Arabidopsis thaliana: one gene and its partners. The protein of the gene in region 3 purifies or fractionates together with the protein of the main gene of each other region. This does not show direct contact. Each region holds a gene or a part of one and is shown on either strand. Other genes may lie near its edges.

Region 1 (11,151 bases), on a different chromosome or scaffold from region 3:
AATGTGTAGTTCCAAATCTTGATGCTTCCGTGAGTGTCCCATTCGCCGTCGTGAACAGAAACACCTTGGATGTGGTGGCCAACAGCGTCAGGGAAGAGATGGTTCTCGTTCCTCCACCTCTGGAAGTGTTTCTCTGCTGTTCCTTTTAACGGTACCTCCGTCACGTATGTTCCCGACGTCGCCATTTCGCTCTCTCCCTCTCTTGTTTAAAAGTTTCCACTCGTGTTTTTGTTTTGGTTGCTGAAATAACACTTGTTGGTTTATATAGATCAGAAGCTGACGCTTTCAAATATGGTTTCTACCGTTTCTTTTAATCATTAAAATAAAATATAAGAGCATTAGTGGATCATAGAAATGTATTTTCTTGATTTGGTAAACGAATCCGCGACCACGTTATTAATGTGTATAGTTGGTCCATCATCCTTTACAAGATAATCAATCATACGCGAAACACACTAATCGTGAGGACAATTATCGCGTATATGTTTACTAAATTTTATCCAATCATTAATCGCAACTGCGACTTGTAGTCGGTACTGAATTGTGATGTTGTGTCATATTTGTATAGTGATTGATAAATATTAATATATAATCGTCGTGTCATAAGTAACCTGAATCCATAGATTTGATAGTGTGACTGTGCTTGCGTGTGGAAGTTATACTTATACATGAAAATATGTATAAATTAAAATCACATATTTTTATTAATTTAGAGATTTGAGGTAGAACGAAAAGATTAATTTATTTTTGCATTTTATGGATCGATATTAAAAGTTTTGAATGGTAAGTCAGATTTTTGGTAGTCCAAAATGTGTGACAGATAAACTGTTTTTAATTTTTAATAAGCAAAAAAATAAAAATCAGGCGGCTAACTGCATACAATTTTTGTTTTATTGCTTTTTTAGTAATAAAAGTAGATTAACTGCGTACAGTTCTTTCTCATACGTTAATGTGAGTGGTCCAACGGCAGTCCATAATTTTGTAATAAATAAAAAAAACAAAAGGTAAAATAAAATATTAACCTTTTATTCTATAAAAGCACAATTCTTTTTTTGTATTTTGTACCATCACACACACTACAAAAAATGTAAATATCTCTCTCATTTTTTTTTAACGTTGCTTTTTAAGCTTATTATCCAATATTCTGATATTGCCTTAAAGAGCAGGATTGAAAAATATATGATAAGTTTTCGTCGTTTTATAATTTGTTTATATTTAATAGTATACAACTGGTATTGTAATTCATTGACGTTAATTTTGCTTAAGTTTTTGAACTTTTTAGAATCTATAACAATATGGTCATGTTTATGTTTTTGCTTAAGTTTTAAAGAAAAAAAGTAAAAAATAAAAAGGAATCTATAAGATTTGCTTGTAACCACAAACTCAGCAGTAATATGTACATACACCAATCAAACGATTTAATATGATCATATTACGTCAGTGTATATGTCAGTAATTTGACTCTAAGAAACCTTAATTAAAAATTTGTAAACAAGACAATATGCCAAAATAAAATATACGTCTACCTTCTCATTAATTTCCTTGTTTCTTCTTCATTGAACTCTTGAACAAATATTATATGGAGATGTCACTTGTCACTTCGAGTTGCTAGGAAACTTCCACCGGTGAATTCCTCCTCTATACAGATTAATTAGTTCATATCCCCTTGTCTCTCAGCTCTCTATCTCCACACTTTTTCTCTTTAACATATCCTTTACTAAATGGCCGTCACTGATTATTTCGCCGGTGAGATAGCGACGGAGCTTTTGAAGCAGCTCTTTCTGATATCTGCGAGAGCAGGCCGGTACAAAAACACAGCCGACAACCTCAGCACCTTGATCGAGAACATTCAACCGACGATCAAAGAGATCCAGTACAGTGGAGTTGAGCTGCCTGCTCACCGCCAGGCTCAAATCCGTATACTCTTTGAGTCTCTAGAGAAGGGCAAGAAACTCATGGACAAATTCTTAACATGCAATCGTTGGAATATGATTCGACAGTTATATCTCATGAAGAAAATGGAGAAGCTAGAGAAGACCCTCTCTGATTTCTTTAGGGCTTCCATTTTGACACACATCCTTGCCGATCTTCATCTTCTCCGGGCCAATTCTGATGAACGTTCCCATGAGGTCTATCTATCTTTGTTTTCTTCTCTCTCCCTTGTGATTTCTTGTTCACCAAGTTTGAAGGCCATCTCTATAATACTCGTTTCTTTTGCAGCACGTCACATCAACCAAAGGGTGTGACTACGACGGACTTGGCTCAATTCAGTACCAGCACATCCAGCCTAACCTAGACATGGATATGCGGGTCACCATTTTGGAGGCTGAATTCCGCACCTTCTCCAACAACGTCATCAACAACATGCTTGCGATGAAGCGAGCGCAAGATGTCTTACTACGAGCCAACGGCTTTGACCCCGAGACCCTCCTACCGATGATGTCTCCTCCTGCAGCCTCCATGAATCCTCCTGCTTGACCACATACGACTTAGGATACTTGCAACCCACTCAACCTTGCGGACTACGATCTTTAAAACACAAATTGCTTTCGATTTATGTTTTTCAATTTGTTAAATTATGTTTCAGTCACAATTTTAAATATAATTTATCGTCCACTACTCTGTTTTAGCTTCTTCTTTTTCCATACGTTACAATTGACCTTACTTTTTTACGTATTAAAGAGAGAATTGGTTTATACACCTCAAATCAGCAGGTTCTACATGATGAATGAAGCCCTTTTAATATCAAAACAACCCTTTTAGTAGCTGAAGGAATCAGATTGTATCTCTAACAAAAAGGCTACCAACAAAATGATGTTATCCAAGTTGGGTTCCAAAATATGGGGTCTCTCAAGAGCTATGTCTTTCAGGTTGTCTATCTGCTCTCTCACACACCTCTTTCTGCATCCGGGAACTGAAGAACGAAGCGCACAAGTCGGGGAAAGGCGGGAAATTGAGTGTTGATCCACAAAACATTGTTTCCCAAGGTTTCTCTGACATCAATGCTTTCTTCCTAGATCTCTTCTTCTTTTTGCTTATTGCTGCAAGAAAAACTTCATAATCTATGGCGCTAGTCTCGAGTTTTTCATCGCTATAAGGATCAAATAGAACATATTCATGGCTCCTGTTTACATACGCGAGAAGCGGCTGAGACTTTTTACCATCTTCCACAAATGAAAGTGTTCCTCCTCTGGCCTGCAATAAACATTGTAATCAAGTCTCTTAACGGCAATGAGAGAACTTTGATTAATCCTTCCTTAGAGTATATACCTTCATTACAGTCCAAATAGCTACTGGTTTAGGGCCTGACCCATCAAACAAGAGGATAGCACCATCTTTCCCGCGGAATATCTGTTCGTTAGATTTTACCAACCTATCAGATTCTGGAAGCCATGTTAAAACTGCAAAGTATGGTGAGTCCACTTCAGTAGCAATGGCTGCAAATAAACAGGAAAAATGAAATATACTTAGACAACCAAAAAAATCAAGATTTCATGATCAAAAAGATAAATAATAAACCTTCTATGTATAATCTATATGACCATGATAAGCAGAACGTCATCAGATCCCAGACAGATAAGTGCGGTGTGGAACCATGGGATGCAGCAATAAGGAAGCCTCCTCCAGTGAATGAGAGTTCCATAATTGGCTGAAACATTTACATATCATTTAAGATTTCAACAATGACTGTAACTAATGAACATGGAATTGCTTTTGTGTGTTATACAAGTCTTACCGCATTTGCCTTTCCAACTACATACAGGAGTTCGTTCTTTAACGGGTGCCAGATCGTAATAACTGTTTTAGCCGCAAGAGCCAGACAAGAACCATCCCCGGAAAAAACAGCAGCTGTTATTGGCGTTCTCCTGAAAAATATTACATCAATTTCATTTGACATCACAACGACTAAGTAATGAGAGATGTTAAAAGGTTCCTAATCTTTTACTTATAAGAGCCAACTCCATGACAAATCCAGTTTGAGTCCTCAGGTGTCAGATTCTTGTCGCTACTGCAAACCCAAATCTTGACAGACATAAAGTCATATCAGTAACACAAAAGGTCAAACGATATTCCAAGGAAATGATCCATTTTTCACTACTCTGTAATCCTACCTTGAAGTCCCCAGCAGAAGATATACTAACAGCCATGGAACGGGCGGGGTTAAGGGCAATGGCTGTAATTGCAGCTTCCCTGTGAGAATACAGAAGGATCAAAAGTTACACTCACGATGAGAATCAAGGAGTTTAAAAGTTTATAAGAACATTGAAGTAAAAACCTGTGAGGTTGATTTATGACTGTCGATAAGCTGAAAGTTTTGCTGTCCGGTACAAATACCCAAAACTTGAGAGAAACTATGCCTTCACTGAAATTGCTTGCAGCAAATCTGGCCTCAGCTGTAGTCATTACTGAGCCATTCCGAGAGAGAGCAACCGCAGTCACGAGAACCTATTTTCCATAATTCTTCAAATTATTACAAAACAGAAAGAGAGCGGATCTTTTACTAGTAACAACTATGTCATCTTACAGAGAAGAAACAAAATGTACTAACCCGGACTTGATCATCATCGTCTGGATGATGATCGCAAATTTGAACCTGCATATGTTAGGTTTGTTAAATAGTAAAATCATACAACTATCAGATACAAAACTCAATAAGCCTTTTGGGAAGCTAACCTCTGAAATGTCATGGTCACTTAAAAGGTTGTAGAGTTGAACACGATGATTCGCTGTGCAGAAAGCAGCTATACCGGAAGAACGATCAATGGATACAGTTCTGGTGAGGCATATATCCCGCGTTTTGACGTAGCATATAAACCCGTGACGCTCTGGTGTCGGAGGCTATTACATAGTAAAGAACACAATATGCATGTGAAGTTAACTCCAACAGAAACGGTATACAATATGAGCATGCTTAAACCAACAATAACAAGGAAAAATTTCGGATGATAGTAAGAACGAACCTTGATTCCAGATATCGTTCTCAATATCTCCATGGAAGGCATTTTAAGAAGATGAATTTGATTATCTGCACAAATCACCTGAAAATTCTTGATCTTAGTAGAGTTAATGAAACACTTCATTTGCTTTCTACGGTTGTTGTAAACGGAAAAACTCTTACAGAAGAAAGAGTTGAATCTGAAGAGAAGATGAAATACAACAAGGGAGATCCAATCTTTGGCAAAAGTTGCTTCTTCCCTGTACCTAGCTCCCAAACAACAAAATCACCTGCCTTTACCCCTAAAAGAGTCACAAGCAAAGGAAATATAGCATAAGAACTCAATATATATATATATAAGAAACATGAATTCCTTATCAACACACAGAGATACAGTCACTATGATGAAAAAATAACTCAGACTCACCAGAATACAAAAGTGCTCCATCTGAAGAGAAATTAAGGACGGTTACTTCAGCGCTGTGCCAGTTGAAAGTAGTGCAAGATTCAGTATCATCTTCAGTTTTCACTGAAGTAAATTCTCCAATACCATTATCCTTCCAAATTAACACTCTTCCTGTTACATCACCGGCTGCTAATATTCTCTGATTGGGATGGAAAGCAAAAACAGTAATCAACTCTGTATGATGTAATGTCGTCTCCTTTGGCATGAGGTGCTCTGATGCCACATTCCATATATGTATACTGCAGTTATGACAGACGCCGAAAAACTCTCCAGAGGGACTTAAAACAATAGGTTTTGGTTCTTCCATCTGCACATTAACAAAAATGATTATAGAATCAAACATGAGGCTAATCGAAAAATGGTTAATCCACAAATCTGACCTCTTTCAAAGTGTCTCCACTATGAAGAGGGTCTTGAGTGAGATCATATCTCCGGATTTGTCCAAACAAATCTTTGGACACACTTGAATAGTCCTCAACCGAAACATAAGCAATCACGGAATGTGACACTTGAGCTGGAATCATCACCTACAAAGTCCCAACAGACACTTAGAAAAGGGCAATTGAAAGTTATCAAATTTTTGTTTATAAGCTGCAAAGTATGGAACTTTAACAGACCAGAGAGTGAATTGGAAGGTGGGTATCAAATATCTTCAAAAGCTTCGGCGCAGAGAACTCCCAAATCCGAATTTTCCCATCGAGCGACGAAGTCCAACAGTAACTGACGGTTTCGTCGGAAGACGGATCAACAATCACAGACGTCACAGGCGCTGTATGATCCTCGAGTGAAGTAATCTTAAAAACACACACACGCATACGCTAATGAGAGAAGAAGATTAGAGGGAAACCCTAAAAGGAAGGATGCTCGAGTCGAGAGATAAAACCTTTAAGCCAGTGGCGACGCTGTAAACAGAGACGGTGTTGGCTGTGCATAAAAGAAGCTTCTTTGCGTCTTTCGAAAACGCCGGAGCGGAAGTAATGTTGTTTCTTCCGCCGCGAATCATTTTCCTTCAACTCACGGAGATTCTGAGAAGACGCAAACATCTTACTCGGCGATTAAAAATTAGATTTTGCGACGTTTTTCCGACGAAATATTACAATGTACCCAGTTTTCGAGGAAATTATGTCTGTGACCAAATTGCGACTAGTACTTAGTACTATATGCTTGTACTTGTAGTTTCACTTTCTTCGTAACACCTGGCTCTGTGATGACTCCTCTCATTCTCTTCCTCCATGTTTGGGTTTCGCTTCTTGGACTAGGCCTTGACCTTGTTGGGCCTCGGCCTGTTTGTTTATTTTTTCTGTTTTATCTTTAATAAAATGAGACGGCAAGAAAATAACTTACATAATTTTTCAAGATCTTAAGTATTTTGTATTTTCTTAATTTATGTGAAAAACCCTGTGGATAAACAAAATATAATGTATAGTCCAATAATTGGAAATTTTGTAGTTAACAAACTCACTTCGTTTTAACAAAATATGGATGGATGATTCAGAGGCATAGTATGCGACATTAACTGTATTACAATGGTCGACAATGACTTTGATTTTTGAGGTCGTCCAATAAATACTAAAATGTATGGGTATGATTTTAGGTTGACCAATAAACTTCGATATCCATCGTTAATTCCATGAATGTTTTAAAAAACTGAAGTTGCTTCTATTATATATAAGTTAATCTATTTTATAATTTTATTTTATGACAGTTTAGCTATAATTTCTTTTCAAAAACATTTATGTTCTTAATTTATCAATCTATCACTTTCCTCGTCAACATATTACTTTTTTTATAAATCTTTTGCATATGACTAGCTTATCGGAAAATCGTTCATATAGATAGCGACATAACTAAAATAAAATTAGAAAGATGATATTGTTTTGATATAGTGTTTGTTTGTCTTGTTTCAAAAGACTATGCAATCAACTAGTTGTGCGTCTTGTGGATCTAACAGTTTTAAAAATGTTTAGGGTCAATAGTTTAATCAGACTTGGAACGGTAGTTTATACCTTTAGATACAATATTATCTAAGGTTAATTTATGTCATGGAAAAGTTATATATAGACAAAATGTTCAAAAAATTTAGGATTTATTGTGAAAAAACGAGAAATGGTAGATGATTCATATACATATCAACTTATTCCAAAGTAAAAAGTTTAAGAAATAAGAAAAATAAAAATTGTAGCGTAACAAACATTGACATATGGCTCGTTGGAAACAAACTAAATGTAATAATTATAGTTGTTCATCAAACTATTCGCATACAACCATCATGAACGATGACTAAAAATGGGAGACAAAGTGGGACTTTTGTAAATCCTACGTTTAATGAATTAGAATGTTGAATTATTTTTTCAGATTTTTATACATATGAATTGTTGCTTTCAGTGTTCTCTTAACCAATGAAAGTAAAGATGCTCAAAGGCTAAATATAAAGAAGATAAATTTCATTTCTCTTGATTATTCTCTTTAGGGTTTAAGATTACATCATGTTTCCTTTCATAGGCATTATAATCTTAGTGACACTAGGGTTTTCACTGACACATGTCAGGTCTCTATTGATCCTAGACAGTCAAAACAGTTTTGTAAAACCACTCCTTCTTTTCCAGCACAGCTCCTTGTTTTTGTCCTTTGATCCAATCTTGATGTACTTTTGGTTTTGTCTTCTTTTGCAGGAGATGACCGTTGGAGCTGAGAGTTGTTTAGGGTCTGCGCTTGGGCCTGTTGTTTATTGGGCTTGAGGTTTGCTGCATTCTCAATTTGGCCCAATCTCAGAACCTTCTTGATAATGTCATCTGAAGAATTTACCTTTACAGATTCCTCTGCTTCGTGTCCGATCACAGCTCTGATCTGGTTCTTCTCTTCACCAATCCGAGTTGTTGTCTCAACACAAGATGCATTCTCTCTAATAGCCCCCCGCAAACTCGGCGTAGGTGGAACATCGACGCCTAGTTTGTAACGAAGATCGCAGAACGGCTTGATGGGGAGAGATTTGGTGAAGATGTCCGCGATCTGTTGATGACCAGGTATGTGCTTCACAATCAGAGCTCCAAGTGCTACTCTCTCTCGAACATAATGATAGTGTAGCTGAAAGTGTTTACTTCTTTTGTGGAAAGCTGGATTCGCAGAGAGATACACGGAGGAGAGATTGTCGCAATAGATTTCTGGAGTGTCAAGTAGAGGAATGCCCAATTCCTTGAGAACAGATCCTAACCAGGTTACCTCCGAGGCAGTGTCAGACAGAGTTCGATATTCAGCTTCGGTTGAGCTTTTGGAGACTGAATCTTGCTTTTGTGAGGACCATGAGATGATATTTGTACCAAGGAAGGTACAGTAACCTCCAATGGATCTTCGTGAGTCTATGCAATTTCCATAATCACTATCACAGTAAGCTCTCAATCTGCAATATGTGTTCTTATTAAAGGAGATCCCCATTGTTATAGTTCCCTTGATGTACCTCAGAATTCGTTTGAGCAGATTGAAGTCAGACACTGTTGGAGCATGCATCTTCTGGCAAACAAAGTTAACAGCAAACTGTATATCAGGTCTTGTTAAGGTAAGATATTGAAGTTTACCTGCAAGACTTCTGAAATATGTTGGATTGTCAAAGATTTCATCTTGTGCAGGTATAGCAGTCAACTGAAGTGGCAGATGAGTAGGCATTGGAGCACAATCACTCATCACAGCCACAGCAAGAAGATCTTCTGCATACTTCTGTTGGGAGAGAAACATTCCTTCTGAATGAAACTGCACTTGAATCCCCAAAAAGTAATGTAGTCTTCCCATATCTTTCATTCTGAATTCAGTATTCAAGCTGTCTAATAGCTTTGACATCGCATCTGAACTGTTTCCTGTTATTATCATGTCATCAACGTAAAGCAGCAGCAGGATGATACTCTTGTTCTTGATGTATACAAACAAGGATGGATCCGGCTTGCTACATTCAAAGCCAAACTCAATCAGATAAGTGCTAAATTTATCAAACCAAGCACGTGGGAATTGTTTTAATCCGTAGATAGACTTATGCAAAAGACAGACATGATCTGGCTTTGATTTCTCTACAAAACCTGCAGGCTGCATCATGTACACTGTCTCTGTGAGATCACCATGGAGGAAGGCATTCTTCACATCCATCTGCTTTATGTCCCACTGCATGATGGTTGCTAGGTGAAGAACTGATCTAACTGTCGGAGTTCTCACCACTAGGCTATAAGTTTCCAGGTAATCAATGCCTTCTTCTTGATTAAATCCCTTTGCAACCAGTCTGGCTTTCAGCTTGTCAAGGGACCCATCAGCATTGAGTTTAGTTCTGAAAACCCACTTGCTGCCTAATACATGCATATTTGGTGTATAGGGCACCAAGGACCAGGTTTTAGCTTCAGAGCAATTGTCCATTTCTTCGTGCATTGCATCAGTCCAGCCTTCATCTTTTAAAGCAGCTGTCACTGTTTTAGGTTCCGGGTAAGATACTCTTTGAGTGTGTAAACCATACCTCGGATTTGGTTTTCTGATTCCATCTTTTAATCTTGTTGTCATAGGGTGGGTAGACTGAGATGGCTGAGCTGTTTGGACCTGAGATGACTCACTGTTGGAAGATGCACTCTGAGAAGATTGATTCTGAGTAGACTGTTCTGTAGTTGATGGCAGCGGTTGAATGATAGGAGAGTCTTCTGAGGTAGTGATTTGCTGAGTAGAAGAAGAAGAGCTGTTGCCTATAGGAACATGATCAAAGCCTGCCGTACACCCAGTACTCTCCTCTTCTCTCAACAAAACCCTACCAGAAGGTACTGAATTTTGATCATTGTGATCTTGATTTTCTGTTGAAGTACCAGTCTGATTCTGTTCTTGTACTGAGCAACCCTTTAACCAAGCAGACATCAATGGTGTAACATTTGCAGGTTGCAAGTGAATGTAAGCCATAGATGAAAAAGGAAAGAGTGACTCATCAAAGATGACATGACGGCTGATATACACACGCCCTGTGGTTGGAAGTAAGCATCTGTAGCCCTTATACTTGTCATTGTATCCTAGGAACACACACTTGAGTGATCTAGGGTCGAACTTTGTGGTTGCATAATCTCTTAGGGTAGGATAGCAGGCACACCCAAAGACACGTAGTGATGTGTAATTTGGAGGCTTTCCCATTAGAACTTCATAGGGACTGCATTTCTTCTCCAATACTGAACTTGGTAGTAGATTGATAAGAAAATTTGCAGTGTAGAACGCCTCAACCCAATACTTCTGTGGCATACTACTTTGGAATATCATTGAGAGTCCTAATTCAATAATGTGTCTGTGTTTTCTTTCTGCTAAACCGTTTTGTTGAGGTGTGTGTGGACATGACATCAGTTGTTGAATGCCATGTTTTTGTAGATGAGCTATGAAGTCTTTGCTTATAAACTCACCCCCACCATCACATTGAAAGGTTCCAATTTTCTATTGAAACTGATTCTCAACCATTGCTTGAAACACAGGAAATATCAAAGCAAAGTCTGATTTCAACTTGAGGGGATAAAACCAGCTGAAGCGTGAGTAATTGTCAATGAGAACAGCATAGTATCGAAAACCTTGTACTGACATTATTGGTGAAGGACCCCAAAGATCACAATGTATTCTTTGCAAAGGTCTAGAGGCTACAAACGAAGAAGCAGAAAAAGGTAACTTAAGACTCTTCCCAAGCTGACAGGCTTCACATACCATCTTGGTGTTTTTGTTGACTGAAATAGCTTTAGTTGTTGACAGGTGCTGAAGA
Region 2 (11,766 bases), about 11 Mb from region 3:
TTGGGTAAAAACGGTGAAGAGATAGCAGTGAAGAGGATAACAAGAGGAGGAAGAGATGATGAGAGGAGAGAGAAAGAGTTTTTAATGGAGATTGGAACAATAGGACATGTCTCACATCCTAATGTCTTGTCTCTTCTTGGTTGTTGTATTGACAATGGTCTCTATCTTGTTTTCATCTTCTCTTCTAGAGGCTCCCTTGCTTCTCTCCTTCATGGTAAACATAACCTTCCTTCCTTCTTTCAAGATTTATCAAAACTTTGCTTTTAATTTCTAACCATTTTTATGAGTAAAATTGTTGGTTTTTTACTTCTTGAGTTATGTGTTTGGTATTTTAAAGATTTGTTATTATTGTTTTTGTGTAGATTTGAATCAAGCACCATTGGAGTGGGAGACAAGGTATAAGATTGCAATTGGGACAGCAAAAGGGCTTCATTATTTACACAAAGGTTGTCAGAGAAGGATCATACACAGAGACATTAAATCCTCCAATGTTCTCTTAAACCAAGATTTTGAACCACAGGTCCTCTGTTTTTATCATCTTATTATTTATTTTTACTGTTTCATTGTTTATTCATTTTCTCTATTTTTGTAATAATATTAAAAGAAACAATTATCTTTGTTTTTTTTAGATATCTGATTTTGGATTGGCAAAATGGCTGCCTTCTCAATGGTCTCATCATTCCATTGCTCCAATTGAAGGCACATTTGGGTACTATTTACTCAAAATTTTATTTCCATTATTAATAGAATATGTTTTGTTTTTGAAAATAATGATTTACAAAAATAAACCAAACAGGCACTTAGCACCAGAGTACTATACACATGGGATTGTGGATGAGAAGACTGATGTGTTTGCCTTTGGAGTGTTCTTGCTTGAACTCATTTCTGGTAAAAAACCTGTTGATGCTTCTCACCAAAGCCTACACAGCTGGGTAAATCCAAATTAACTTGAATTTTTATCTTAATTTTTGGTTTGACTAATCTCCAATTTTTTTATTATTATAAATAAATCATATTATCTAAAGTGTGATTGGTAAAACTGGTAGAAATTTCATACATCTGTTTAATCACTTTTACACCATAGTTTTACCAATCAAACGTATACTCTACCAATAGCTAACAACATTTAGATGGTTTAGGTTGTTTTTGTACACCTAAAAATCGGTTCAACTATTTTCTTATTCAGTCATATGGATTTGAAGTGTTAATAGATATTTTTATAAACAAAATATGATGAGTTTATTCGATATATCTCCATGTTACTTATACTTATAAATTGTAATCCAGGCAAAACTGATAATCAAAGATGGAGAGATTGAGAAGCTGGTGGATCCGAGGATCGGTGAAGAATTTGATCTGCAACAACTTCATCGCATTGCTTTCGCCGCGTCTCTCTGCATCCGATCTTCTTCTCTATGTCGACCTTCCATGATCGAGGTACGTCCATTAAACTCACTAATGGTTAACTTGTAGAGTGCATCATTTGTTTGTTTACTTCTCTTCATTTTTACAAGTGAAAACTTATCTAGGCAACAAAAGAATAATTTAGTGTCACGGAATTATAGGTTTTTTATTAGTAAAGAGAAAGTTATTTATGATTGGTTCATGATGAGACGTAATCGTGTCGATATGTTACTCAACGATCGCTTTTCAGTTAGCTCATCGGCTGCGTGACTGAAAAAATGTCTTTGGTCATTAACTATAACCATCTTTATTTAATGCGACATATACATCAAACGTTAAGCTTATGTTGCTTTTTCTTTGTTATTGAATAAAGAATAGTAGTACCTTTCAACTTTTTGATTTAATTAAAAAATTGTACTATATATAATATATGGGAAAAGCTCAATTACCGACACCTAATCTTAATCACAGTCACATACTACAAAACAAAACAAGCACTATATTTCTGTTGTGATTATTGAGGATAATGAAGAAAAGTGGCTCATTTACCGACACTTAACTTTAATCAATATATGTAATTAAAAACAAAACAAGAACTATTAAACCGGATTTGCAAGATCAAAACTTGGCTTACAAGAAAATGTTACTACATTCTTAATTACAAAAATTGATAATACGATTTGTTCTTGATTACTATTGTTTTATGAATCTTTATGTTTATGTGTTGATTTATGGTACATTTAGGTCTTAGAAGTACTACAAGGAGAAGATATAGAGAAAGAGAAATGGAAAATGGAAGAGGAAGAAGAAGTTAAAGAAGAGTTTTGGGGATATGAAGATCTTGAGGATTGTGAATGTGATTCTTCAATCTCACTTTCTCCTCCTGACTCTATCTCTAATAGAAGTTCTTCGCATCGTAGTCGCTAGATCTAAATTTAGTTGTAAAATGTTGAAAAATCAATTTTGTTTTGTTGTATATATTTGTTTAGAGTTGTCTATTTCATAAACAATTGTAGTATTCAATGAGGTGTTTTATTTATTTTTTGGATGTCGACTGTTTATAATATTATAACCAAACTCTATCCAGAGTTTGCAAAGTCATGATATCATCTCACTAAAAGCCACATTAAGAGCTAGGGTCCTTGTTGATTTGCATTTACTAGTTAAATTGTTACTTATTAAAGTAACACAATTATTTTAATAATTTCTCATCAAATGTCTTTTGGAAATTGTAATGCAAATAAAATAATGAGTGGTCAAATCAGCGAATAAAATGCCTTTTTCATTAGCCCTTGATTTTATTAATCTCATGTATGCAATCAGTGGAGTCGACTTCAGTGTTAAAAGAGAATAGCTGAATGCCATGATTTAAAACATTCAATATAAGAATTGTCTATAAAAACTAAGTCATTTTTTATAAACATAATGCCATGATCAAAGAGTCTTCAAGATCCCTGACTCAACCAATTTGAGCATGCCACGCCCTAGGATACCATTTGATGATCAATGATTCTATCTAAAACTAAAAACATTAATCATTATATATACATAATTTGTTTTTAATAATAATGCAGTCTTGGATCAATACAACAATAATAAGTTAAATATGTGGATACTTATTTGGTGTGGGAGCCCATGCCAGGTGTACGACACAGAAAATTATCGTAGTACCACTCTACAATTAAATATCCCGTAAGTATAAAGTCTGGTATTAATTATGTTCATAGGTACTAAATACAACATCATTTGATGTTTATGTCGATCGTCTTCGTCACTTAGCTACTTAACTTGATTGTTACAAAAGATTTACGTATCTTATTTTGTGTGGTTGATTAATAAAGTTTCCTCTGCAAAGTTGGGTAGCCAATTCAACCACATTTGTAGAATTTTAAACAAACCTTTTATTTAGCTAAGATAAATAATTTGTTGTTTGAAGGAAAAACAATGATCTTTTTGCAAAAGTAGAAAGCTTTTCGAAGACGTAACACAAACCTTGCAAACTATTGTCCTACATGCATGTGGAAATAAAAATAAAAAGGTAAGTGTCCCCAAAGCAATTACCTTTTTCATGTACTTAAAGAATAATTTGCTCAACATATTGGACCACCAAAAGAGCTAAATATATAATAGATGAACCTCGAATCACGAAATATGAAATATCTATTTGTATTCCCATTTTCCAACTTAATAATGCAAAATGTTATCAAGCAAAGTTCAAATAAAATAATGCAAGGTGTTAGTTGAAATATTTGGATTTTGGAATAATTTCTTTTGGTGGGTTAGGAGCACCTGACTCGTTTCACAATTATTGAGAATCTATTAGCAAAAGTAAAAAGTCCCCAAATTATTTTGCTTATTTCCACTAAGGATATATAACGATTTCATGAACATTTTTCAAATTTAAAAACGAAGCACCCTCAGTATAATAAATCTCATTATGATTTCAAGAACAATTTGCATTAAAATATATAAATGCATGCCGTATTTTAGAAACGAAAAAAAAAAAGGCAGGTCGTGATATTTCATTTCGTTTTTGGGTCAAACATGGCACAATTGGTTAGAATCCTGTATTTTTTGAGTAGCAACAACATAAATAAACTGGACCGAATCTCACAACAAAGAGCTACAAAATTTCCTGAACAAACTCAACAACTTTGCTCACCAAAGATGGCTGCAAAAATGAGCTCTTCTTCTGTATAATAAACCTTACAAAAAACTTTTTGTGTAAGGTCTCATTCCACAACGGCCGTTCTTTTCTCCATTAGGGACTCAAAGAACTCAGCACATAATTTCTGAAGTGGCGGGAAATTTAGTGTGGAGCCGCTGAATATTGTTTCCCACGGTCTTTCTGATGATACAAACGGTGTTCCCAACGACTCAACATCCTCCATTCTCTTCTTGTCATAATCAGGTAACTGCCCGTATAAGGATGTGTACCCGGCGTCTCCTAAAAGGTTGAGACTTTTTCGATTAGTAACATGGTATAATCAACAAAGGTTCTTTCAAATATGTTTTAAGTTTTAACTACCTGTCTCTTCCAGACCAGCAAGACCATCGTAGTCAACAGCGCTACGCTCATGTGACTCATCACTATTGGGATCAAAGACAACATATTCATGGCTTCCATTTACATATGCAAGGCGAAGCTGAGACTTATCTCCTTCTAAAAATGAGATTGATCCTCCCCTAGCCTGCAATTTAGACATTGTTTAACTCGTTGGATTCTTTCCTGTCTCTCCAAGGTTAAATACTAACGGGCTATTTCTTATGTCATACCTTCATCACAGTCCATATAGATACCGGCTTGGGATCTGATCCGTTAAACAAAAGAATGGCACCATCTCTACCACGGAAGATGTTCTCCTTAGATTCATCTGTTTTAAAAGTTTTTGGGATCACAGCCAAGACTGCAAATGCTGACGAATCCACTGCAGAGGTGACAGCTATAGAACGAGAACAAGCATTTTCTAAGTAAACCACAGCAAGAGTTTTCATGGGGAAATCAAAGAAGCATTATAATACTGACCTTCTATGCGTAACCCATATGACCATGATAAAGATAACTTTGATGTATTCCAAACAGATAGTTCAGGTCTTGGAATATGGGATGCAGCAACAAGGAACTCAGACTTTCCAGCGAAACAGAGCTTCGTGATAGGCTGTAATAATATATAGAGAGGTTTAAACATTGGTCTTTATGGAAAAAGGTTCCAGCTTTTTTAGGGATAACTTCATAGGTTTTACCGTGAGTGTCGATCCTAGAACAGACAAGAGAATGTTCTTATCTGGATTCCACAGTGTAATAACATTCTCAGCCGCAACAGCCATAACAGTGCCATCCCCAGAGAAAGCAGCAGCAGTCATTGGTTTCTTCCTGGAAAATATTCAAAGGCAAGAGAATATAAATTTGATCGCCAAGGCGAATAATTTGTGAATGTTGAAATTTCCTAGCGCGTAGAGAAGCTATTACTTATAAGAGCCAACAGCGTGACATATCCAGCTAGAGTCTTTATCCGTCTGGTTCTTGTCACTGTTGCATACCCAAATCTGAAACAGCAAAAGTGATATCAGTAAGACAATAATAACAAACAAAAAACACAGAGAGAAAAATGTAAAATCAGTTTAAGAACTACCTTGAAGTCACCACCGAATGATGTACTCACTGCCATGGAGCGGGTAGGGTGGAACACAATGGCTGAGACACCGGCATCCCTGTAAGATATACAGGAAAATAAAATTTACTCTCTGCAAAGGATATAACAGTTTGTAGACTAAATAAGAGAAATTGAAATCTATGTTTGCAAGGTTTACAAGAAATAAAACATGACAAGAAAATTGGGTAATGGTGAAAAATAAAGCTTTATCCATTAGCAGAGGGTGAAATATTAACCTATGAGGTTCATATACGATTGTGGATAAGGTGAAAGTTTTGCTGTCTGGTTCAGACGCCCAAAACTTGAGGGACACTAAGCCTCCTATTCCATCTTCCGGAAGTTTCACCTCGGTTGTACTCATCACTGAGCCATCCAGGGAGAGAGCAACCGCTGTCACCACAACCTATTACCGTTTACTCAAATTATCACCCAAACGAAAATAATCTTAGATATACTATCAAATAAACAGCAAGGAAATGTACTTACTGTGATCTCATCTCCTGGTTGATGGTTTCTCTCACAAACTTGAATCTGCAAAAGCATTGATTAAAGAAGTTAGAGATTTCATAGACAGGAGAAAGTGGCATAGAGTTTCTTAAGGATATATTGGAGCCAAATTCTAACCTCTGAAATTCCCCGGTCATTGAGAAGATTATATAGCTGTACACAATAATTCTCTGTGCACAAAGCAGCTATGCCAGAAGATCGATCAAAGGCAACAGTACTAGCCAAGCCTTCATACATCCTAGGCAATGATGGGGGAGGCTGTAACAAAATAACACACATTGAAGTAAACACCAAGAAAAAGGTAAAGCGGTTGCGAGAGTTTCTAGAATCCTAGAATCGTTGACAAAACTGACGAGAATGATTACAGGTCCTTAATTATTAAGTTTCCAAGACGAACCTTGATTCCAGAAATGGTCCTTAAGATCTCCATGGAAGGCATTTTAAGCAAATGGATCTGATTATCTGCACAAACCACCTGCAGCTCTCATTCGTAGTCAAATCAGTAAAACATTCCCTTTTGCTTTCAGCAGTTGTGTGTTAGATTAGAATGAAAGAGTAAGCTCCGACTTACAGAAGAAAGAGTTGGATCTGGAGACCACATGAAATACAGCAAGGGGGATCCTATCCTTGGTAAGAATTTCTTTTTCCCTGTGTCTAGCTGCCAAACGACAAGTACCCCTTCCCTTCCCCCTAAAGAGTCAGAAAACAGACGCAATATGGAGTAAGAAGTCAGGACATTACTTTCAAACAGTAAATTTGCTCATGACCTATTAGTCTATGTCGGTTCATAAATCCAATGGATATCAGAATATAACTCGGCCGCACCTGAATACAAATATGCTCCATCGGAAGAGAAATTAAGGACATTAACTTCAGCAGAATGCCAGTGCCATGTAGTGCAAGATTCAGCATCATCTTCACCTCTCACTCCAGCATTGTCCAAATCAACCATGGCTCTCACTTTTTTCTTTTGATTACCCAAGGCAAGTTTTCTATTACCAAATCCTCTCCAAATCAACACTCTTCCAGTTACATCTCCAGCAGCTATAACTCTCTCCGTGGGATGAAAAGCAAAAGCATTGATAACCTTTGTGTGATGTAATGTCATCTTCCTTGAAACCGCATGCCTTGATCCTCCAGAAGGAACATCCCATATATGAATTTTACACTTGTGACGGATTCCGAAAAATTCTCCCGAGGGACTAATAACAATAGATTCTGGTTCTGCCGTCTACACAAAGAAATAAGCAAATAACTTGAGCTTACACAATTCAACTTCAAGACAACATTAAAGACAAACCTCTTTCAAATAAGTCCATTAAAAAAACTAACCTCTTTTAAAGTATCTCCACGAGGAATACGCGACTTAGCGAGGTTAAATCTTCGGATATGTCCACGCAACTCTTTAGACCCTTGGTTAACCACACTTATATCCTCAACGGAAACATAAGCAACCAACTTACCAGACAACTCACGACGTTTATCAATTTGTTGAGGTTCGCTCAAAAGAGATGGTATAACCTAAAACACACAAAACACATAGATTCATTTCATCAAACAAAACACTCACAAAACCTAATCAAAGTATCAAACTTTTTTTATACTCACCATAGAGTAAATCGGAAGCTGAGCATCAATAGTTTTCAATAGCTCAGGTCCAGAGAAATCCCAATGACGAATAGTACCATCAAGAGAAGCAGTCCAACAATAACAAAGGATTTTTTGAGCAGGACTTGATGCAGGAACAACAATTAGAGTTGTTACTGGAGCTGTATGACCTTCAAGCGAAGTAATCTAAAACAGAAATGTATCAATCAATGATTCGAATAGAAACCCTAACAAAATCGAAGAAGAATTAAATTTTTGGTACCTGTAAGCCAGTGGCGGCGCTGAAAACAGAGACAGTGTTTCCTGTGCAGACGAGAAGCTTTTTAGCGTCGTTGGAGAATGATGGAGGTGAAGTTACGTAGCTTCTTCCGCCGCGTTTCATGGTTAATTTCCGGCGATAGAGAGAGGCGGTGAAATTGGGAAGAGAAGAAGAAAAGGGAGACGCACAAAATTGGTTTACTTCAAAAGCCCTAACTTAAACCCTTCTTCGTCTCTTTTGTTTTTTTTTCTGCTCAATTACATTTCAGTTTTTATCTATTTATTTAATCGGAAAATATTAAACAATAATGTTTTTGGGCCTTTGTAATGGGCCTTGTTAGGTTTGATGAAGATAATTATTGAAGTTTTGAGAGGTATCTAGCAAAAGTTTTCATGTATGACAACAATCAAAAGAAAAACACTGAGCAAACTTTTTTGAATTGAGACAATATATAGATTATAACGATACAATTAAAAAGTAAATAATGTGATTAAACTTACAACAAACCAAATGACCAATGACATCTCTCCATTTTGCTTTGGAGATTTCACCATTGTTAGATGAAACTAGAAAGAGCTACTACATAGGTTTTGAAATATACCAAAAGAAATCTCTAAGATTAAATATCATCTGAAGAGAACTTTCCTCAAGACTCAAGCTTTTTTGAACTCTCTCAGAAAAACAGATTTTAGAATTGGCCAAAGGGGAAATGAGTTTATACATGGTTGCTTATACACTCTGTACTTTCCCCGGCATCTCCTTTGCTTTCACGGTCTTCATATCCTGCGTTCGATTCAAAAGATATGTGTTAACTACAAGATTTACTTGAGGAACATAAGCAAATCAATGACTAAAGAGAGTAGTAACTCTAAAACCAATCAATGACATTTTTGACTACCAAATACCAATGAACAATTTTTACAACTGATATTGAGTGAATATCAAGCTTCAAATATGTTGTATCAATTTCATTGGTTGTATATTGTTATGTTCATTAGCCTAGAAGCAAAGAGCAAAAAAACACTTAAACTAGCTTTACTTCTAAGCTTACGCAAAATGTACATGAAACAAAAAGCTGATGAATCAATCGGACTAAAGGAATCGATTATCGATAGAAACTAGTACAAAGAACGATACAGGACCCGCAAGAACAAGAAACTAAACATATAGAGACTCAAAGGAAACATATAGAGACTCAAAAAAAAACTTACTGATTCTTTGCTTTCGTAGTACTCATCCAAAGCCCACTGATACTTAGATTGGTTTAACCCAAACCACCTCACCAAATGATCATCCACACTTGAATGTGCTGTAGTCAAATGGATTAGAACACACACACACAACATGAATGTCAAATTCACAATCTAATTGCTTTTAGGACCAAATCACATAAACAGTATGAAAAGCTAGAATTCATGTAACATTAGTACTTTCCAATCACTTCACAAAGATAGAAACTTTACAACGATTTATATCATTTTTGAGTTCAATTTCCTAATCAATCAATCAAAGGGTATCGGAAAAATCAATCTCAAATTCAAGATCTAAAAATGAGGAAACTTTGAGCTGAAAATCAGTTAATTGTTTATCAGATTTCTCACCATTTTGAACCTTTGTGACGGCGTTTTTAAAGAACCCCAAAACTGAGCCGTCCTGGTCAGAAGAAGCCACCGATTTAAACTGCTGCGGCGGAGGAAGAACCGGTGGTGCCATCACAGGCTTCTGAGACACAGCGGAGGGAGATTCAGGTGGTTTAGGAGTCGCAGGAGGAGTCATAAAGACAGTGTAAGGACCGATTTTTCCGATAACAGGAGGAGGTGTTGATGGGTCTTTGTTGATCGGCATCTTGAAAGTGTTAAATTGAGAGAAAATGAAAGAGAAAGTTTTCAGACAAGAATCTGAGATTAAGAAGAAGAAGAAGAAAGGTTCTTGCTTGCTAGTTGTAGTTGCAAGTTGCAGACAGTGAAAAAGTGGAAGATTAGTTTCAGGGGAGAGAGTGAGGTTTTGGTTCGTCTCTGTGTTTTTTTTCTTGCAAGTGTAAATGTACTTTACTTTTCACACTGACCAATGAAAGAGTCAAACACACTTCACATTTCTTGCATTCTTTTTTTTTTCCTGCTTTTTCCGACGAATCTTTCTTTTCTTTTTTTTGGTCCTTTTTTTTCTTAATAATTCTTCAAAAAAAAAAACAATTATTATATGATCCGTGGAGAAAAGATCTAAACCCTAAACACAATAATTTTGATTTCAATCAGACATGAAACATTTTGGGAGGACAAAAAAAAAGGTTTGGATTTAGATCATTTGGCCACTTGCACTACAAAAGACGTTATGTACAATCCAATTCGTAATATTGCATATACAAAAAAAAAACATTAAGTCAACAGATGAACAAAACATGGACGTATCAAACTCACCATGTACAGACAATATGAACATGTTTTTGATCAATGTATAGATCTTTTGTCCAACACATCTAAATGCCTTTTTAACTTCATCACTTGATCAAGTACTTGCAGTGGTAGAAGTTGCTAGTAACAGTTCATGTGCTTCATTTAACATCCACTCTTCACCGGTCTGACCACCTAATACGACCAATCGAGTTCCTCCGACCACACATGTTGTGTGTCCCCATGCAAACCTCGGCGGACCTCCCTGAACATTCAGTATTCTCCATGCCGGTTTCTCCTCATTTGGATCAAGAAGATAAAGCTGAGAAGCCGAGTCAAGCCCTGCAACCGAACCACCAAAGATCAAGATTCTACCACCGGGAAGGCTGATTGCCACATGGTCCAGCCTTGGTGGTGGAGCTGCCATGCCTCCGGGGAGGCTAGATCCATACCCAATCACAGGTCTCCAACTCGGTTCATCCTCGCTAAGATCCATCGTGTATACATCGTTAGAGCGGAATCTCAAAGTACCGTTTTTAGCTAGACCGCCAAACATAAGAATCTTGCGGTCACCATAGACAGTTAGAGTATGCCCGAGGCGAGATGGGGGAGTCCATGGAACCGGTATCTCCCTCCAAGCAGGTATATCCATCGATAGGTCAAGCAGGAATGTATCGCTGAGTAGAGCTCCTGAATCAGCACAACCACCAGATACAATCAGCTTAGTGCCATCAAGTGTGCACGAACTGTGCCATGATCTTGGTATTGGAGGGGCCAATCCGGATACTTCCCTCCAGCTTGGTGGGTCTGCATCAAGGTCTAATAAGAACACATCATTGAGTAATCCGTGGCTCCCGTAACCTCCAAACACTACTAAACGGGAACCGTTGACACAAGAAAGTGTGTGACCCCAGCGACCCGGAGGAGGAGAGCTGACCAGAACAGATTTCCACTCGGGACTACTCGAGCCAAGGTCCAACACAAATGTATCATTCATCGGCTGCATATTCACACCTTCCCCGCCAAAGATAACAATCCTGTTCCCAACTGCACATGCGCTGAAATTACACCGAGAAGGCTCAACAGTACCTCCAACTGAAAACTTCCTCCATGCTGTTGCTTCGTGAGTGGTGAACTCTCGGGCCAGTCGCACCCAACCAATCCTTTTTGCACCGGGAACACTCTCAAGAACACGTGTTGCCTCGGTACCCCATGTGTTTTGACAGACCATTCTCCACACATCATCATTCTTTGTCAACTCATTGAGCCGCCTACATACACAACCAACCGATGCAATATCACCAGGAGTCAACTGTGACAATATCTTGATAGCTATTACTTCATCACTCAGTTCGAATATCCCACAGAGTCCACGAGAAACATTACGCTCTCCGATTGGTAAAGCAGAAGTAAATGAGCGAGATATTCTAGGAATTTCTTTTGC
Region 3 (9,338 bases):
ATACAGACGAAGATCCCAGTGGATGGCGTCCTTGCTTCACCTTCTTGGAAACCTTGGAGGAGAAATGCTTGAAAAACGAGGATTTACAAGGTATGTTATGTGCACTCGCACAACATCTGATTTGGTTTAATCAAAGCCGGTAGATGAGTATGATATGTCTGCATGCTTTAAGTCTTGACTTGTGATGATGCGTCTGTCACAGACGACAAGGAAGCAGCAAATGTAAGACGCAGGGGACGGCCAAGAAAACGTCCGGAAACAGAGCGAAAGAGACTGTTTGATGAGCAAAGTGGAAGCGATGAGGATGAGTCTATTAGTGGCGGGTCAGACAGAGAAGATAAGCTCGACGAGGACGCTCCTCTAATCGAGACAATTAGATCGGCTGCCAGACGGAAAGCGCTCAAGGGTGAACGGTCCAAGGGACACTGACGACGGGTAAAACATTTATCAATCGACATAATTTATGTGTTTAAAAGTTTGTTTCTAGTTGATACAGTCAAGGAAACCAACAAAACTGCTCTTTGTTATAGAAATCCATCATTTCAAGTTTAGACATTACCATGAAATATCTATCATTAGCAGAACAAAATTGAAGGCATATAATGAAAAAAAGAAACAAACAAAACTTGTGATATTGATTAGATCAACTTCTACCCGCAATTCTCATCAAAGGAGCAATAACACCCTGAATCTCTAGAAGAGACTGTTGTATCCTAATCTCCTGATTAACCTCCCTCTTCAAGTTCCTGAGAAGCCCTTTAAACTCGTTTTTACCCTTGATGTCTTCAGCTCTCGTCTCCAAAACCTTCTTCGTCAATCCCATCAACAATCCTGAATACCTCTGCACAGTGCAGTACCTTTGTAAGAAGCCTAGCAGCATTCCCAACTCGCCTTCCTCCATATTCGACACGCACTTCATCAGCTTCCTCCTCGCCACTAATTCTTCCATCACTGCCACAACATTGGCCGGTTTCTTCTCCTCCAACACCGAGACCAGAGCTTCCTTATGCCTGAACTTCTTCAAGAGCTTATCGTGTCTCGTCAGCTTCAATCCTTTCTTCTCCTTGACCAAGTAATCATCTTTGGATGGCTTCTCGCTCTGCCCTCTCTGGAAGTACCTGAAATACGTAGGCCTCAGTGCCCTTCTCCTACTCTCATCCACATCGCTTATCAGACTCCAGAGATTCAAACTTTTCTTCTGTCCTCCAACAACATCTCTCACCTTCTTCTTACCGGCAAACACCATGCCATTAGACCCTCCGATTACCCGAGTGGAACCATCGGGGGAAAGGCCAAGAGACATGAGAGGAGCAGGAAACCTCATAGAGTAAGTCACCTTTGCTCTCCCGTAATCGAAGACTTTCATGTATCCGTCCAAAGCAACGCTCACAAGTCGACTCTCAGCCGATTCCATTCTCGCAACGCGGAGAGACGTGACGGTCTTGTTGTGACTCTCCATGGAGCAAACCATCTTCCCGCCTCCGATCAAATCCCATACCTTGACGCTGTTGCCACCAGCGGTTGCGATCAATCCACCGGAAGGCAGGTATACGACGTCCTCCACTGGGAGTCCGTGGTTGATCTCGGCAATCCAATTGGACGTGTGGACTCTGGCGTCCCACACCTTCACCGTGTGATCGTAAGAGCCTGTTACCAACATTGAATCGTTGACGGGCGAGCAATCACCGCAGCGGACATAATCCTTGTGGCCTAGCAGATCTGAGATGACTGTTGCTCCGGCGACATCCCAGTACTTGACGACTCCATCGTCGCCTCCGGAGACCAAGTGGAGCTTGTCCTGAACTGGATACTTGACGAATCGAGCGGGGGCGCTGTGGGAGCGGAGAGTACGGAGAGCCATTCGTTCCTTGATGTCGAAGACCTGGACCACACCGGAGAGATCGCATGCCGCGAAAAGAGCTCCGTCGGAACGGAAACAGACGGAGGAGACAACATCGCGGAAGGAGAAACGGCGGGAGGAGGAAAGCGACTGCGAGGAAAAGAGGGAGACGGTGGCGGAGTGAGCGACGGCCAAGGAGTGAGGGTGGACCGGAGAGAAAGCCAAAGCGGCTACGGAGGAGACGAGATTAGGTGTGGAATGATTTTTGAAGGAGGACCAGTACCTCGATTCCGGAGTCTCCGATTCGGAAACAGGTTTCGCCGTTGATTTGGGCTTCACAGGGAAAACCTTTGACACTTGATGGTCATTCAGCCGAACACGAAGCTCTTCCTCCATTATTCTAGAGTACAAGCAGAGAGCTAGCTTGAAGAAGAACGCAGCTAACAGAGAGAGAGAAGGAGGCTGGTTTAGGGTTTAAGCAGAGAATGGCGAAGAAGACATTTGATAAGTAAGTATCCAAATGAAGTTTTTGGGCCTCGTTTATTATGTTATTGGGCCTACCAATTTGTTGGCATCTGAAGCCCTTACTTAACCTTCGTATTTAACTTGGACAAACTAAACGAATTTATCTCTTCTCTCCTTTCCTTTCTTCTTCTGATTTTTTTAGTTTCTCAATCCTTATTTCTCTGAAAAGAAAAACCGAATTCCTCGATTCATCCACAAGGAAAGGTGATTCATCAATCTTGTGCTTAACACATAATGCATGTGGATTGATTTATATCAGGCAAATTGGAGAATGATCAAGTAAGGAAGAAGTTTTGTATACTGAAAGAACCACAGAGTACGAAACTATTCATCATGTATATCCAGAAGTAATGCGCAAAAGAGCAACTTACAATGTTACAATCAAAGACACATGGATGCTATACGCCAACGGAGACATTTCTGCTTCAATGGTTTGATTCCTTGATGCTATAGGGTTCAAATCGAATCCCTGGATGCATACAATCCTTCCCAACAAAATATGCTGCTTGTATTTATTCATATCTCTCTCTCTAGTATCCTATTTTCCCATAACTCTTTTACTCGCTTCAGGTCGTTGGAAATCATGTCCATGCTTTAACATCATTCCTGCGACTTGATTAACCTTATGCTCCTGTCCATGCGTTGCTGCGTATACTCTAAGCAGAATACAAAGCGTCTTCTTGGACCGGCTTATTTTAAAGCTTTCCATTTCAGAGAGGACGTTTTCCATCTCTTTAAAACGCTTTTGAGATCCATACATGATCATTAAGCCATGGAACATAGACCTGCTCATTTTCCATCCAGCAGAGTTTGCACGCTGCACGAATTTGGCAAGCTTATCAACCGCATTGCACCTGAAGTAACTAGCCACTATTGATCTCATAATACCATCTGTCTCTATCTGGAGTCCTTTTGTAATAGCCTGGTCTATGAAATTCTCCATGGCATGTAGATTATCATCCTTAGCATAGACCTGCATCAAGAGCAAATACAACCAAGGCTTGTAACTTTTCTTGGGGATAAGTTTGGATAAAGTCTTGATTTTTCTGATCCTATCCTTGTGACAACTCCTGTAGTATGCGCAAATCATGGACTCGATTAACTTAATCTCATTCCTGTCAACGTGACGCTTGACGGCTTGATACATGTCCTCCATCCGTAGCAGATTTCCCGAGTTTGCATACCCTCTGAGCATCAGCAAATAGGTGGCAAGCGTAGGCTTAACAAGGCCGTTCTTCATGGAGTGGAAAGTTGCTTCCATCTTATCCCAATCCCAAGCATAGATGTACCCAGCAATCAAGTTGTTGTAGGTGCTGGAATCGGGAAGGATATTGAGTTGTTGAAGCTGTAGGAATACTGATTCCATCCGCTCAACCATAATCAAACGGCCATAAAGAGAAATGAGGATGTTGTAAGTAGAGACAGATGGAGTAGAAGAGGAGGGTCCGTCTTGTTGAGAATTGAAGTCAAGGAAGAGCTGCTCGCAATGATGAGACAAACCGTTGCAGAGGTAAGCACCCATCAAAGCATTGTAGACGGAGGTGGTCTTGTTTGCAGACTCGTGAAACAAGGAAAGGGCCAAATCGACATTCTTCAGTCTACCAGAAATGGTAATGCCCTTAGCGTATTCATCAGCAGTCATAGGCAACCCATCGCATAGTGCCTTGTTTCTTCTCCAGTCGAACACCTGCAAAGCAACAACATCAAACATGACGGAAAAAAGGCTTTTTCTTTTGTGGTTGTGAAATTCGAAGACAAAAAAGATGTATGTATACCAGTTGGGACAAAACGGGCCATGGACGTAACTGCCTAAGGAGCTCAACAAACGCAGCTCCTTGGATTTTGTTCCTCTCCAAAACGGAGGCAACTTTACCGGAATCATTACGGAAGCGCAACAATTGGTTTTTCAATCCCGAAGCATCATCATCGCCCCCGGATTGGTGGAAGGGAGACCTGGAGAGGGTAAAGCAGAATGGGGTCAGAGTCTTCAAGGTTGAAGAAGAGCCACGGGAAAGGCAGAGCAGATCAGATATCTGGGAAATCAGTGAGATTCTCCACATGCGCTTCTTCATGGAGACTAGGAGGAGCAATTGAGATGCTCTCTCTCAAAGTCAAGGGTGATGATTCGGCCCTTTCGGTTCTATTTGGGCCTTTTCGTCATTTCTCGGCCCATTTGAAATGTCCATTTATTTTTGTTGGTTTGAAGTCAAACGGTGGAATATAGAATTTCTTAGAATACACACTTAACACAGATTCTTTTCTTCGCATGTTCCGGCGGCCATCACGTGTAGATTAGTAATTGTGAGCAGCAGAGCTATGATAAGACTAAGACACGTTTGGATTTATTAGATAATGCAATTAGGCTTGTTATTAAATACGAAACAGAAACATGAGTAGGTAAGACCTCTTCAGGATCCAATCAAGAATTTTAAATATTATCATCTCTCACCAGATTACCACTATTGATTGAATAGTATGAAAATGAAACAAAAAGTGAAAGGAAAGTTCTCGTGCAACTTCGTGGATGAGACTCAATTAGGTTCATGACATGTTTTGACCGTTTCAAGTAAATCAAGTAAATAACACAATCAATAATACACTTAAGAGTATATATATATTTAACTAATGACCAAAATATTACTAGTGGGTCAATGAGTGTAAGAAACAAAGAGAGAGAGAGAGAGAGTGTTATGTTATGTCTTTATTGTCAATTAGTAATTTTCTTCGAATTAGATGTTGTTTCTCCGTCGAATCGCCGTCGTCTTCTTTGTCTTCACCTCTTTCTCCGCCGCTCAGAACTCCACGTGTCCTCTGGACTTTTCCGTCCTTGAACCGTTCCGGCGTCCGAAACCCGATGGCGCCACCACCTGCCAGTACCTCCTCCAAGGGCTACGCCTCCTCTACTCTCACCATCTCCGTCAGACGGGTTCCTTTCTCCCGCCACCTGAGTCTGCTGCTTCTTGCTGGGCTGCTCTCCAGTCTTCCGTCGCCGGTTTCCTCCCTCGCTTTGACGTCCGATCCACCTGCGGTTTCCAGACGCCGTGGATTTCGCAGGGGTGCATGGACATCACCACCAGGTCTCAATTCGAATCCCTTATCCCTAACTCCTCCCTCGCCACCACCGCCATGCGCTGTAACACCTCTCTCGAGAGCAATACCCCTTGCGCCTCCTGCACTCAGAGCCTCTCCGCGTTTCAGCCCTATCTCTCCGGTCCATCCCTCGGTAATGTCTCCGACTGTGCTTCTTTTCCCTCTATCTACGCCGCTGCTTTCGCCAATTCCTTGGGCCCCACCGACAAAGGCACCGCCAAATGCTTGTTTCAGCTCGATTTGGCTTCTCCCACTAGCTCCGGTGCTAACAAAGTCAAAGTTCTAGTTTCTTCTTTCTCTGTTTTGCTCGTCGCCTCTGTTCTGGTTATCACCGCTTGGTTCTGGTACTGCCGGAGGAAGAAAAGCAAGCTTCTCAAGCCTCGGGATACTAGTTTAGAAGCTGGCACGCAGTCTAGACTTGATTCCATGAGCGAGAGCACCACTCTTGTCAAATTCAGCTTCGACGAGATCAAGAAAGCCACCAACAATTTCTCACGCCACAACATCATTGGCCGGGGAGGTTACGGGAACGTCTTCAAGGGCGCCCTGCCCGACGGCACCCAGGTTGCCTTCAAGAGGTTCAAGAACTGTTCTGCTGGAGGGGACGCCAACTTCGCTCATGAGGTCGAGGTCATCGCCAGCATCCGCCACGTCAATCTCCTTGCCCTCAGAGGCTACTGTACTGCAACCACGCCCTATGAAGGTCACCAGAGGATCATTGTCTGTGATCTTGTCAGTAACGGTAGCCTTCATGACCATCTCTTTGGCGACTTGGAGGCTCAGCTTGCCTGGCCTCTTAGGCAGAGGATCGCCCTTGGCATGGCCAGAGGACTGGCTTATCTACACTACGGCGCACAACCCTCCATCATCCACAGGGATATCAAGGCCAGCAACATTCTCTTGGACGAGAGGTTTGAGGCCAAGGTTGCGGATTTCGGGCTGGCCAAGTTCAACCCCGAAGGAATGACTCATATGAGCACGCGGGTCGCAGGCACTATGGGATACGTTGCTCCAGAGTACGCACTGTACGGGCAACTGACTGAGAAAAGCGACGTGTACAGCTTTGGGGTGGTGCTTCTAGAGCTTCTGAGCAGGAGAAAGGCGATTGTGACAGACGAGGAGGGGCAGCCTGTGTCGGTGGCAGACTGGGCGTGGTCGCTGGTAAGAGAAGGCCAGACATTGGATGTGGTGGAAGACGGGATGCCAGAGAAGGGACCCCCAGAGGTTCTGGAGAAGTATGTGCTGATAGCAGTGCTGTGCTCTCACCCTCAGCTCCACGCAAGGCCAACAATGGATCAAGTGGTGAAAATGCTGGAGAGCAATGAGTTCACTGTTATAGCCATACCTCAACGGCCAATCCCTCTGGTGGCTTGTAGGGAAGAGATTGACCGCTCTGTTAGTAGCAGCAGTGGCTCAGGGAAGCTCACTAGCCCCACGGGATATCAGGCCTTCTCATTCGGAGGTGATGGCCCCTCAGGGAACACGAATACCACTTAGATGAGATATGTATGTTGTAGATATTAATTTAGTGTGCATTCATTTCATTCTTTGATGCTTCTTCTGTCACTTATGTAAGTACAGTTGCTTTTTCCAATAAACTCATCTTGTTGTAACAGCTTTGGATGCAATATTATACAGGCTTAGAAATATATATATACACACATTTCACATTGGTATCAAATGTCAGACCACGACAAAAGCTTTTGTTGGAAAAAGACACGAAAGATGCGGAGGTCCATGAAGATATCCATGTGTGAGTGTGCAACACTTTGATTGATCCGCTCCGGTGATTTCTCTGCTAACGTCATTAATCAACTTTGCAATGACATTTTGGTGGGTGGGTTATCTTACATTCTTTTCTTTTCTTTTTACTCAAATTTTTATAAACAAAATCTTTCTGAAAGAAGAAGGAACGATCGAGTTACATAAGCAAGATCGCTGTATCAACAGTCACGTCTTTTAATGTTAACAAGAAAGATAAAAAAGACAGATCTGATTCAAATGGATCTGCGTGAGTTTTCTGTTTTTCTTGGATGATTAATGAATGATTCACAAGAATTTCAGAAAAAAAAACTGAGATCAAGGTTTTGACAAGAGGCCAAAGACATCACGTGTCTGTCTCTGTCCAATCCACGCCAGCCACTAGCATGTGTGTGCGTATTCAGTTTTACTTGTACATCTTTCTTCTTTTTTTTTTTTAAATGTGAATTTGCTTAGTGTATCTTTTAGTATACACATAGTGGATAAGTAGTTTATAAACTCATTTTTGTTTGAACTCCCCCGAGTGGGCTCAACGTTGTCATTAGCTATATTCTAGTTTAATGGTTATCATCAGAAAATCTGAAATCAAATTTTTGGATTGTAATCCATGGCTGCTCTTGGTAAAGGACATAAAACAGCTTTCATCTCTTGAATGGTAACAAACCCCACAAAGGATTTCTTGCCTAAAGGGTCACTCTTACCCATAAAAAGTTTTCACCTTTAATTCTTGTCCTCCGCTTTTCCATTTTACTCTTCTTGTATGTTTCTGTCTTCTTACTCAACTTTTGCTTCAGGCTTCGTCTCTTTTGCAATTTTTGAGTTAGCCAAGTGCTCAAGGGAGATACATAATACCTGAAGATGTCCAAGGCAAGTGATGCCGTCAGAGAACCATTGGTGGACAAGAATATGGCTGGATCAAAACCAGACCAGCCGTGGATGGTTTATCTCAGCACATTCGTTGCGGTCTGTGGTTCTTTTGCGTTCGGTTCTTGTGTAAGTGATTTTAGATTTATGGAAAGTCACTAACTTTGTTTCTGGTCTAAAAATGAACGTTATACTAAAACTTGGTTTCGTTGCAGGCGGGATACTCTTCACCTGCTCAGGCTGCAATTAGGAATGACCTTTCATTGACTATAGCTGAGGTACATAATCCTTCTAGGAAAGATTGTTCATCACTTATTCATTGAATGTTGCTTACCTCTAGCTTGGATTCTGCAGTTTTCACTCTTTGGTTCTTTACTAACTTTTGGCGCAATGATCGGTGCTATAACAAGCGGGCCTATAGCTGATTTAGTTGGAAGAAAGGGGGTAAGGAAATGTTTGAAACTTTCCATCTATTAGTTTTCTTTGTGTTGACAACACGTACTTACTTGTGGTGGATCTGTATCCAGGCGATGAGAGTTTCCTCTGCATTTTGTGTAGTCGGGTGGCTAGCAATCATCTTTGCCAAGGTATTACTCAGGATCCAAAACAGTGGCTATATATGCTGCTCTTAAAGTTTTTCCTAATGTATCTCTCTTTTTGTCTCAATCAAAGGGAGTAGTGGCTCTGGACCTTGGAAGACTGGCAACGGGATATGGAATGGGAGCATTTTCCTATGTGGTGAGCCCATCGAGTTAATACATTTTCTGTTCAACATCTCGTTATCCAGTGTTAATGATACGTTTGGTGTGTAGGTGCCAATCTTTATAGCAGAAATTGCACCTAAAACTTTCAGAGGGGCTCTAACCACACTGAACCAGGTAACTAAAGAGCAACATGAAGATCTTTTGTCTCCCTTACTACTCTGTTAGGGGATTGTGAAAAGAAGCTACCGTTTTGTGCCACAGATTCTGATCTGCACTGGAGTGTCGGTTTCCTTCATCATAGGCACACTAGTGACGTGGAGAGTCTTGGCATTAATAGGTAATTAAGGAATTTACGTGGAGAGTCTCCATCCATGTCAGAATACTTATGTGTGTAATGTGGCTTCAGGAATCATCCCATGCGCTGCCTCCTTCCTTGGCCTCTTTTTTATCCCTGAGTCTCCAAGATGGCTGGTAAGACCACAATAAGCACCATAAAAGCTTTGACATGTATACTTTCTTGTGAATAATTAGTCGTACATGTGTTTGTAGGCAAA

Evidence for each region.
Region 1: the proteins of SWA1 (region 3) and AT3G26480 fractionate together in Arabidopsis thaliana (co-fractionation; one large-scale study listed by BioGRID). This does not show direct contact.
Region 2: the proteins of SWA1 (region 3) and AT2G18900 fractionate together in Arabidopsis thaliana (co-fractionation; one large-scale study listed by BioGRID). This does not show direct contact.

What each region holds. Positions count from the first base shown.
Region 1 is NC_003074.8:9,684,423-9,695,573, forward strand, and holds AT3G26480 (Transducin family protein / WD-40 repeat family protein), read right to left. Parts: upstream 6,545-11,151; 5' UTR 6,406-6,544; coding exon 6,286-6,405; intron 6,197-6,285; coding exon 6,020-6,196; intron 5,930-6,019; coding exon 5,783-5,929; intron 5,710-5,782; coding exon 5,364-5,709; intron 5,239-5,363; coding exon 5,120-5,238; intron 5,040-5,119; coding exon 4,962-5,039; intron 4,840-4,961; coding exon 4,675-4,839; intron 4,595-4,674; coding exon 4,550-4,594; intron 4,447-4,549; coding exon 4,277-4,446; intron 4,192-4,276; coding exon 4,113-4,191; intron 4,024-4,112; coding exon 3,947-4,023; intron 3,867-3,946; coding exon 3,737-3,866; intron 3,650-3,736; coding exon 3,520-3,649; intron 3,438-3,519; coding exon 3,271-3,437; coding exon of another isoform or gene 3,247-3,270; intron 3,221-3,246; exon of another isoform or gene 3,196-3,220; coding exon 2,851-3,195; downstream 1-2,850. Other genes in the region: AT3G26460 (Polyketide cyclase/dehydrase and lipid transport superfamily protein), read right to left, coding at 1-185; AT3G26470 (Powdery mildew resistance protein, RPW8 domain-containing protein), read left to right, coding at 1,722-2,129, 2,221-2,478.
Region 2 is NC_003071.7:8,184,355-8,196,120, forward strand, and holds AT2G18900 (Transducin/WD40 repeat-like superfamily protein), read right to left. Parts: upstream 8,183-11,766; 5' UTR 8,056-8,182; coding exon 7,936-8,055; intron 7,860-7,935; coding exon 7,674-7,859; intron 7,587-7,673; coding exon 7,398-7,586; intron 7,297-7,397; coding exon 6,891-7,296; intron 6,756-6,890; coding exon 6,637-6,755; intron 6,541-6,636; coding exon 6,463-6,540; intron 6,324-6,462; coding exon 6,183-6,323; intron 6,090-6,182; coding exon 6,045-6,089; intron 5,962-6,044; coding exon 5,795-5,961; intron 5,617-5,794; coding exon 5,538-5,616; intron 5,452-5,537; coding exon 5,375-5,451; intron 5,279-5,374; coding exon 5,149-5,278; intron 5,064-5,148; coding exon 4,931-5,063; intron 4,848-4,930; coding exon 4,681-4,847; intron 4,596-4,680; coding exon 4,433-4,595; intron 4,352-4,432; coding exon 4,137-4,351; 3' UTR 3,883-4,136; downstream 1-3,882. Other genes in the region: AT2G18890 (Protein kinase superfamily protein), read left to right, coding at 1-214, 363-520, 630-709, 797-932, 1,288-1,437, 2,149-2,331; AT2G18910 (hydroxyproline-rich glycoprotein family protein), read right to left, coding at 8,662-8,715, 9,144-9,241, 9,534-9,777; LKP2 (LOV KELCH protein 2), read right to left, coding at 10,438-11,766.
Region 3 is NC_003071.7:19,636,367-19,645,704, forward strand, and holds SWA1 (transducin family protein / WD-40 repeat family protein), read right to left. Parts: upstream 2,313-9,338; 5' UTR 2,237-2,312; coding exon 644-2,236; 3' UTR 501-643; downstream 1-500. Other genes in the region: SCC3 (sister-chromatid cohesion protein 3), read left to right, coding at 1-90, 203-429; AT2G48000 (Pentatricopeptide repeat (PPR) superfamily protein), read right to left, coding at 2,904-4,052, 4,141-4,437; RKF3 (receptor-like kinase in in flowers 3), read left to right, coding at 5,099-6,952; AT2G48020 (Major facilitator superfamily protein), read left to right, coding at 8,075-8,209, 8,296-8,358, 8,435-8,524, 8,608-8,667, 8,753-8,818, 8,893-8,958, 9,046-9,121, 9,191-9,255 and 1 more. UniProt on the Arabidopsis thaliana protein: Essential protein required for nuclear division and organization during embryo sac development in female gametophyte, probably by promoting rRNA biogenesis essential for the progression of the mitotic division cycles during gametogenesis.